Callithrix jacchus: one gene and its partner. The protein of the gene in region 1 interacts with the protein of each later gene in a pairwise test. Links are inferred from orthologs where the notes say so. Each region holds a gene or a part of one and is shown in the gene's direction. Other genes may lie near its edges.

The links. The genes of interacting proteins can lie anywhere in the genome.
Region 2: the proteins of CCNDBP1 (region 1) and SYF2 interact in binary tests that used the Homo sapiens proteins (3 or more experiments, as listed by UniProt). The link is inferred for Callithrix jacchus from reciprocal best matches to the Homo sapiens genes CCNDBP1 and SYF2.

What each region holds. Positions count from the first base shown.
Region 1 is NC_133509.1:30,923,575-30,928,538, forward strand, and holds the start of CCNDBP1 (cyclin-D1-binding protein 1), read left to right. Parts: upstream 1-2,018; 5' UTR 2,019-2,083; coding exon 2,084-2,192; intron 2,193-2,357; coding exon 2,358-2,417; intron 2,418-2,696; coding exon 2,697-2,776; intron 2,777-4,964. Other genes in the region: TMEM62 (transmembrane protein 62), read left to right, coding at 837-1,163. UniProt on the Homo sapiens protein: May negatively regulate cell cycle progression. May act at least in part via inhibition of the cyclin-D1/CDK4 complex, thereby preventing phosphorylation of RB1 and blocking E2F-dependent transcription.
Region 2 is NC_133508.1:61,950,326-61,955,080, reverse strand, and holds the start of SYF2 (pre-mRNA-splicing factor SYF2), read left to right. Parts: upstream 1-1,609; 5' UTR 1,610-1,642; coding exon 1,643-1,666; intron 1,667-1,898; coding exon 1,899-2,006; intron 2,007-3,045; coding exon 3,046-3,171; intron 3,172-4,276; coding exon 4,277-4,394; intron 4,395-4,755. UniProt on the Homo sapiens protein: Involved in pre-mRNA splicing as component of the spliceosome.

The sequences.
Region 1 (4,964 bases):
ATCTATTTCACCAGCAAGCTGTACCGTGTTTGATCTGCTTCCAATGCGTATCTTGAATCCATCCACTTCTCTCCATTTCTGTTACCCTAGTCTAAGTCATAATTACATGCCTGGGTCTTCTCACTGATACTCTTGCCTCCTTATTCTCAGTTTAATACAGAGTATCCAGTGTGGTCTTTTAAAAACTTTTTAATCAGCTCACTCACTTTTCAGTTTGAAATGCTTTAAAGCAGAGCAGTGATCTGGGTCCTGCTGACTGCCCCAGTTTCCACCTGGCTCATACTCTGCAAGAGGTCTTGCCAAGACCTCTCCCACCTCTGGGCTTTTCATTCGTTCCTTCTGCCTGGAATGTACTTCCATCCTCTTGATTCATTCCTGTCCTTCTGGCCTCTGAGAGCCTTTCTCCCAGTTACCTTCTCATGACCCAGTTATTTCCTTCACTGAACTAATCACCATCTGTAATTATCTGTTTTGTTTATTTTTTTGGTCTTTCTTCTCACTGTTAGAATGCATAAGCTCTATAATGGACCTTTTGTTGTATGTATATGTGTTGTATGTATAATGTGTGTGTATACATTTAGTTCAATTCCAGCTTAACACCACTGGGACCTCAACATAAATTAAATGATACCTGCTTTCAAAGTGAATAAAAGGACATGGGCAAATACACAACTAGGCGCAGGTTAGCTGTTGTGTTATAAGCAACTGTGCTTGAAGCATAATTAGCTAACCCCAAGACAGAAAGCAGCATATTCTTAGAATCCATCAGTAACGCATTATTAAGACCAAACTCTTCCAAAGACTTGGGAGTAAGCTATGTTTCTGTTCTTTTCCAGTTGGCGTTTTTTAACATCCCCTTGATGGCTTACATATGTTGGAGCTTGCTGCAGCGGTGCTTTGGTCACAACTTCAGGTCTCATCTCCATCAAAGAAAATACTTAAAAATTATGCCAGTTCACCTACTTATGCTGCTGCTGTACATCTGGCAGGTTTATTCCTGCTACTTTCTTTATGCAACATACGGCACCCTAGCTTTTTTATTCTCCCCTTTGCGGACTTGGTTGACATTGTCGACACCTGTTCTCATTCGTTGTGTGTGGACACTGAACCCCACCAAGCTTGGAATCTTCATGGTGCAGTTAAAAAGCCACCTGAACTCCTGAAGGCCATGTCTCACCACTGGCAGCTGGGCAGAAGCCCAGCCTTTGTGTATGTAGCCCAGGCTTCCACCCCGGTAGTAGGTGGAAGGCCAGTATTAGTGGGTGAGTTTAGGGAGCTGCTGCTCCTTGGACTCCTGGATGTTGGAGGGATTACCCACTACTGATAACCTGCAGAGTGGACTGCAGAAAAGTCTCAAAAATGATGCTTTTATTCCTTCCCTCCCCAAGGAGGTAAAGGGTTGATTTACTATGGTGAAGAGAAAACCCTCATCTAGGACACCCACAGGGTAGGGGTTGGGTGTGTGTGTATGGGAGTATCTGAGACCCAGTGTGTTTTTTATGGCTACCCCATATAAAGCATCTACCGCTGTGCTTAGAATTCAGCAGCTGTCAAAGGCGCAGTTTCAGGGACAGGGAACCTGTGAGGATCTGGATCCGACCCCGACTACCTCTGAGATACGAGTTCCCTGGTCTATTTTCCCACAGGATTGCGGGCTCTCTGGTTCCTTAGTCGGAAGTGTTTTCAACTAATTATATAAATGAATGAATGATGAATAATAAATACCTTGGGCCGGAGCCTTCTTGTGTGGCGGGGCCTCTGGGGCGAGAGAAGGCGTGGCCTAGCCTGGCGTCTGAGAATGGAATGGGTGGTACACGACCTCTGGGAGCCGGGCGGGGTGGGGCGGGAGGAGGAGGCGGGGCCTGGCCTGGTGTCTGAGAATGGAATGGAAGGTACGGGACCTCTGGGATCCGGGTCGGGTGGGGCAAGAGGAGGCGGGGCCGGGTCTCTGGGGCGGGGCGGGGCGGCTTGTTGCCGGAAAGGAGTCCCAGACGCAGCGACCCGGAAGTAGAGCGGCTGTCACAGTGCGACTCCCGCTGCGGCGGCAGAGGCCTGTGTTTGCGGCCTTCTGCGAGCGACGAGGATGGCGAGCGCAGGGGCACCTGCAACCGCAGTCCCCACCTTGGCTCCGCCTTTGGAGCAGCTCCGGCACTTGGCAGTGGAGCTGCGGTTGCTCCTGCCTCGAGTGCGGGGTGAGCTTACGGAGTGGGAACGGGCGACGGCAGGGGCGGGCTCGGGGTCTGGGAGAGGCCGGGCTCCGGGTCGGGTAGAGGCCGGGCTCGGGCGAGGGAGGTGGCTCCGCTTACCTCAGCTTTTCTATTTGCCACCGTTCGGCCCCCCAACGCCACACCCACCAGTCGGCGAAGCCCAGGAGACTACTGAGGAGTTTAATCGAGAGATGTTTTGGAGAAGACTCAGTGAGTGCGCCTTCTGTCCGGGCTCCCCTGCCTCAGCTTCTCTAGCGTTCCAACCCCTTTCCCTCCTACTCCCCACCGCGGGAGGTGACTGCCCTCCCCCGCTGCATCCTTTCTGTGGGATGCCTTATCCACCTCGGCACCTGAGGGAGTGAAATAGAATTCTAACATCGACATTGGGAGATGTTTTTGAGAAGTCTCGGTCGGTAAGGGAACGCGCTTCTTCCAAGTCCGTGCAGCACTAACATATTGGCACCTGCCTCTCCCTCTGCCACCCCCCAGATGAGACAGCTGTGATGGTGTCAAGGGAAGCCACGACTCTGACCACAGTCTTCTCTCAGTTTCCACTGCCATCTCCACAGGTGGGCTTCACTTTCCTGGAGTCCTTGTGCTGCTGAGTTACACATTTAGGAATCCTCTCATTTTCTTTCCACCTTTTACATGCATGCCAGATTTATCTTCATCTGTCCAATGAGGTTACAGTTTTTCCTTCACCCGATTATGTGAAGACCAAATTGCAAAGTGCAGTTCCTGACGCGGAGTAGGCAGGTCTTCTAAATATTGATTCAATCAGAAGTTCACCCTGGTTGTTTTCCTTTCCGATAATTTTTTAAGCACTTTTTATTTGCTGGGTGTTTTCACATACTTGATGGCCATCAGACAGATGAGCAAGCAGGCTCAGATGCACAGGTTAAGATTTTTTTAAAAACCAAGGGAGGTAGGATTTATATCAAGATCTACCTGATGTCTAAGCTATACTTATTCTGTTATACTACATAATAACCTTTTTATATTGAATTTTTTTATATTTAAGCAGTAACATGTAGACAGTATAAAATTCAAAAGAGATCAAAGTAAAGTATACTAAAAGTTTATCTTCCCACCCACTTTCTCATTTTTGTCTCCCCCAGTTCCTTTTGCATTATTCCACATATATTCTGTGCATATATACATTCATGTACATTTATCTGTATATGTCAGCTTCTTTTTACACAAATGATAAGATACCATAAACACTGTTTGGGACCTTTCTTTATAGAAATTGACAATATGTCTTGGAAATCAACTCTTAGCAGTACCTATAAAGTTGCTCAGTTCTTTGTCATGACTGCATGGTATTCAATAGAGTAGATATAAACATAATTTAAGCAGTACTATATGTGGACATTTAAGCTGTTTCCAAATTACAATTACTGCAAACAGTTCTGTGATGAATTACCTAATTCTGTTTATGTGTGTATATAAGGAGAAAAAAAATCCCAGAAGTGGAATTGCTAGAACAAAGAATTTATGCATTTTAAGTATTCCTTTGTGATAAAACTAATGAAAGTAAACATGTTGGCTATGACCAGCTATGCTCTATGCTCAGTTTTTCTAGAGCTGTGTATCCTTAATATGGGAGTAAGATTCTTGTAAAATGGCATATTCATTGCTTTATTTGATTTTCAGTCAATAGTTTCAATTTTATCAGTCTATATATACAGGTGTTTGGAAAGAATATAAATATCTTCTGCTATGTGTACCTACAATGATAAACTCTCTCCCCCTATATACCTTTGAGTTTTGTTTGTTTGTTTGTTTGAGACAGTCTCACTCTGTCTCTGAGTCTGGAGTGCAGTGGCAAGATCTTGGCTCACTGCAACCTCCACCTCCCGAGTTCAAGCAATTCTCCTGCCTCAGCCTCTTAAGTAGCTGGGATTACAGGTGCCCACCGCCATGCCCGGCTAATTTTTGTATTTTTAGTAGAGACAGGGTTTCATTATGTTGGCCAAGCTGTTCTCATACTCCTGACCTCAGGTGATTCACATGCCTCAGCCTCCCAAAGTGCTGGGATTACAGGTGTGAGCCACTGTGCCTGGCTTACCTTTGAGATCTGCAACAAGGAAACGAGATGATTTGTATGAGAGCACTTTAAAAGATCATGGAAATAGACTACTTATTTCAAAAAGAGTAGTTAATATTATTTTTCTTATCTGCTAACCTGTTTCTTTCAAATACACTTGGGATTTGTTGCTAAAACTCACTGCAAGTAAGATACCATGAGGAGGCAGCATAGAACTGATTTTCTATACATGCTCAGGATAGTAGTTATACTCATAGATGAAAAATTAGAATATGGATTTATTTGAAATATGTACAAATATTCATGTATATAAATATATTCAAATTGTATATACATGTATGTATACACACACACACATATATATACACATGAATCATCATTGTCTTCTTGGGATCTCACCACTTTAGTCCTACTAAAAGATGAGTTTTTTTAAAATTTCAATCTGTATGGATTGATACTTTAATAAAATTATGTGCTTGGATGTTGAAGAAATGTCAAATTGCCATAAAAGTTTCTAAACACTCTCAGTCACTGTCCTTATCTCATCCCTGACTGGTCACAAACAGTTTGTAGACTGGCACCAATCTGGACCACATTTGCATAGTATTGACTTGGAATTTAACAGAAAATTGAGGACAAGGAAGATGAGAAAGCCAGTGACCACTTAGAAGGAAAATAGTCAACATGGAGCATTGTTGAGTACATGC
Region 2 (4,755 bases), on another chromosome or scaffold:
CTCTGCCTCCCGACTTCAAGCAATTCTCCTGCCTCACCCTCCCTAGTAGTTGGGATTACAGTCGCCTGCCACCACACTCGGCTGTTTTTTTTTTTTTTTTAATTTTTTGTATTTTTAGTAAAGCGGGGTTTCGCCATGTTGGTCAGGCTGGTCTCCTGACCTCGTGATTTACCGCCTTGGCCTCCCAAAGTGCTGGAATTAACAGGCGTAAGCCACTGCGCCAGGCCATTTTTAAAAAAATTTATTTTTATTATTTTTAAATTTAGAGACTGACTTTCACGTTGTTGTCCAGGCTGGTCTTGAACTCCTGGGCTCAAAAATCCTCCGCCCTCGGCCCCCCAGTGCTGGGATTGCAGCCATGAACCACCACATCTGGCCAAGACCTGCTTCTTGGAGGTGACAATAGGCTAAGCTCTAAATGGAAAGAAATTTCTACTCATGGGAATGAATCCCACCCAGGTTTTCCCGGCCCAGGGCTGACAAAACCAATTCACTAAGTGCTTAGTGCTTAGCACTATACTAAATGCTACTGCAGTAGAGTTGTATTAACGTGAGGCTGGCCTCAGGGAGGAAGTTACCACTCAAGTGTTTTCCGGAAGGCTCAGCTCAGAGGTTAGGGTTTTCAGAGTTTGCTGTGAGCAGGACACTAGGGAATGGGTGCGGCTGACTGGTTGGAGATGCCACCCATTCAGCAGCACCGTGAGTCCGCCTCTGGGTGGAGGAGTGGGGCAGATGAACCGATTGGGTTATGAGACACGAGTCTGGGTGGGGTCAGTTAGTTGACAGAATGAGAAAGTCTGAAGAATGCCTCAAAAGACCAATCTTGGCCGGGCGTGGTGGCTCACGTCTGTAATTCAAGCACTTTGGAGGCCAGGGCGGGCGGATCACCTGAGGTCGGGAGTTCAAGACCTGCCTAACCAACATGGTGAAACCCCGTCTTAAAAAACAACAACAAAAACAAAAAACCAGTCTTAAGTTCTACAATAAGGACGTTAACTACAGGAGTAATTGGATAAGTTACACATCCGATGTCCTCCGAAACAATAGCTGGTTATCATTCAACTACATTTTAGCAGAATTCAGGGCCCTCTCGGATTCCTAGCCTCCTCTTTCATTAGTTATACACAGGCAGTTTCAGCCCCTGAATAGGGAGGGGGCCCGTTTAAGGGAGGGACTATGATCATCCTTGCTTAAAAGTTAAACTATAAATTCTCCCATATTTAGCTTGGCTTATGCCCAGGAATGAGCGAAGACAGCCAGCCTGCGAGGCTAGAAGCAAGATGGAGTTAGCCACGTTAGATTTCTCTCACTGTCTTTGCAAAGGCGGTTTCCAGGAACAGCGTGCAGAGTAGATGATTTTCTACCAGGGTCCTTTTGGTCATTTCTTCCTAGCTGTCCGATTCTGAGCTGTTCCCAACACTTTTCTTGACGACTCATCTCCCCGTCCTTGCCCCAGTTGCTTTCCGCAGCGGCGCAAGACCCTGCACAATCGAAAACATTCCACAGCGAAAACGGTTCCAACTTCCGGAGGCCGCCCGGAAGGGGCGGGGCTTATGGTAGTCTTCATTACGTATCGGCCTGGTTGCCTGAAGGTTGACGGAAGTGCTCTGTATTGTTGCCGGAAGTGGGAAGAGAGGTTGCGATGGCGGCTGTTGCTGCATCCGAGGTGAGTTAGACGACCCCACACCGGGGGTTTTGTTGGTGAGGGTTGCGGGGAGCGGCCTGGGAGAGAGGTGGAGGCGAAGTCTAGTTTTGCTTCAGGTCGGCGCAGACACTGTGGGGTCGAGTCGGCGGTCTAGGCCCTAGGCCCAGCCTGTCGGGGCCGGCGGGGACTCGGCCTGGGCCGTCCGGGGAGAAGCCGAGCCGGCTCTGCCTGAAGCCAATTCTCCTCGCCGCAGGTGCTGGTGGACAGCGTGGAGGAGGGGTCCTTTGCTGCGGCGGCGGAGTTGGCCGCTCAGAAGCGCGAACAGAGACTGCGCAAATTCCGGGAGCTGCACCTGAAGCGGGTGAGTAGTCTTGGAGGCCGGCTCAGATCGGTCACTTGGCCAGGGCCAGGCGCTTTTGTAGAGGGGGCGAGGAAGCCACACCACTGCATCTGACAGACCCACAGAACGGGATCATCTGAGATGAAAGCTGTATCCGGTGGCAGCACATTGGGATCATATAAAAAATAAGCCAGGCATTGTGGCACATGCTTGTAATCCCAGCTACTTGGGAGGCTGAGGCATGAGACTTGTCTGAACCCCAGAGGCAAAAGTTGAAATGAGTTGAGATGGTGCCACTCACTACACTCCGGCTTTGGTGACAGAGTGAGACTCTGTCTCCAAAAAAAGAATTGAAATTAGAGTGTCTTTCACAGCATGTGCTGTAATTCTTTTCTTTTTTTTTTTTTTGAGATGGAGTTTTGCTCTGTCACTCAGGCTAGAGTGCAGTGGTGTGATCTTGGCTCACCTTAAGCTCTGCCTCCTGGGTTCAAGTGATTCTCCTGCTTTAGCCTCCTGAGTAGCTGGGATTACAGGCATGTGCCACCATGCCCAGCTAATTATGTATTTTTAGTAGAGATGATATTTTGCCATGTTGGCCAGGCTGGTCTTGAACTCTTGACCTCAAGCAGTCCGCCTGCCTCAGCCTCCCAAAGTACTAGGATTAGAGGCGTGAGCCACCTCACCCTGCCAATTTAATATTATTAAATGCCCAATAAAGTCTACTTAAGTGCCACTATAGTATGGTTCTCCCATATTTCGAAACCTTGTTCTGATGCAAAAAAAAGAGATCACACAACTCATAGAGGCAAAGCTGATTTTAGCCTCTAGTGCTCTGGAACAGCAAACCAGTGCAACTCAACACATTTTTCTTGACTGCATAAAAATGTAGACCCTATTAGCCTATTCCCTAGCTTAAGATCCCATGATTGCTCTCTATTGCTTTTAGGATAAATAGGGTCACCTTATGATATGTCTTGCTTGATCCTCTTCAAAGCAGGTAAGATGTATCTGGATTTATTTTCATGTTTTAGCTGACACACTTCTTACGTTACAATTTTAGAATGAAGCTCGTAAATTAAATCACCAAGAAGTTGTGGAAGAAGATAAAAGACTAAAATTACCTGCAAATTGGGAAGCCAAAAAAGCTCGTTTGGAGTGGGAACTGCAAGAAGAAGAAAAGAAAAAGGTTAGGAACTATTCTATATTCATAAGTGATTTATTTAGTCATTCTGTTATATCAAGACACTACAACATAGTGGTTGAATACACTTGCTCTTAGGCCAAGCTGCCAGAATGAAATTCTGGCTCTGCTTGTTACCAACTGCAACATCTTAGGTGAGTTTATTTGACATCTCTGTACTTCTGTTTTCTCATCAATAAAACGGGGACTATAGCAATAATTATTTGAGTTAATTATGAATTAAGTGAATTAATGCATGTAAAACATTTAAAACAAGGTCTGATACCTGATAAATACTCAGTAAGTATCATGTGCTCACTTATATACCATAGTATATTCCCAAATTTCCTTTAAATATTATTATTTTTTAAATTATTTATTTATTCTTTTTTTGAGACGGAGTTTCGCTCTTGTTACCCAGGCTGGAGTGCAATGGCGCGATCTCGGCTCACCGCAACCTCCGCCTTCTGGGTTCAGGCAATTCTCCTGCCTCAGCCTCCTGAGTAGCTGGGATTACAGGCACATGCCACCATGCTCAGCTAATTTTTTGTATTTTTAGTAGAGATGGGGTTTCACCATGTTGACCATGATGGTCTCGATCTCTTGACTTTGTGATCCACTCGCCTCGGCCTCCCAAAGTGCTGGGATTACAGGCGTGAGCCACCGTACCCGGCCCCTTTAATAATATTTAGTAATACTTAAAGGAAGGGCCGGGCACGGTGGCTCACGCCTGTAATCCTAGCACTTTGGGAGGCCAAGGCAGTTGGATCACATGAGGTCAGGAATTTGAGACCAGCCTGGCCAACATGGCAAAACCCCGTCTTTACTAAAAATGCAAAAATTAGCCAGGCATGGCAGCATGTTCCTGTAGTCCCAGCTACTTGGGAGGCTGAGGGATGAGAATTCCTTGAACCTGGGAGGTGGAGGTTGCTGTGAGCTAAGAGTGCACCACTGCAATTCAGCCTAGGAGACAGCGAGTGAAACTCCGTCTCAAAATAAAAAAACACTGTTAAAGTGTTGCTTGATATTTATTGGATCTTTCTTGATTTAAAGTAAGTGAAATTACTGCTTGTATCATAATTGGAGGTATTAGCTTTTTTCTTCTATTTAGGAATGTGCAGCAAGAGGAGAAGATTATGAGAAAGTGAAGTTGCTGGAGATCAGTGCAGAAGATGCGGAAAGATGGGAGAGGAAAAAGAAGAGGAAAAACCCTGATCTGGGATTTTCAGGTCAGATTGACCTTTATTGAACTGTACTTTATTGGCTGGGCTGTTAGAGAATCATTTCCTTTATTGTCTCTGGTTTCAAGAAAGGATGTGCCTCTTGGCTTCCTTCATGGGATATTCTTTTCGAGGCCCAAGACCAAAAAAAGTACAAATATGTCTCTTAGGACAGAAATGAAAAAAGGCTGTACTTCAGTTAGCTGGGTTTCTAAATTCTCGAGTAAAATTTATCAAAGAGTGTTCGTCAGCATCTTCAGGATGGAAGCTGTGCTTACAATAGTGTTTTGAGCATATGTTACTTCATACAGATTGAGTATCCCTAGTCTGAAAATCTGAAATCCAAAATGTTGCAAAATCCGAAACTGTG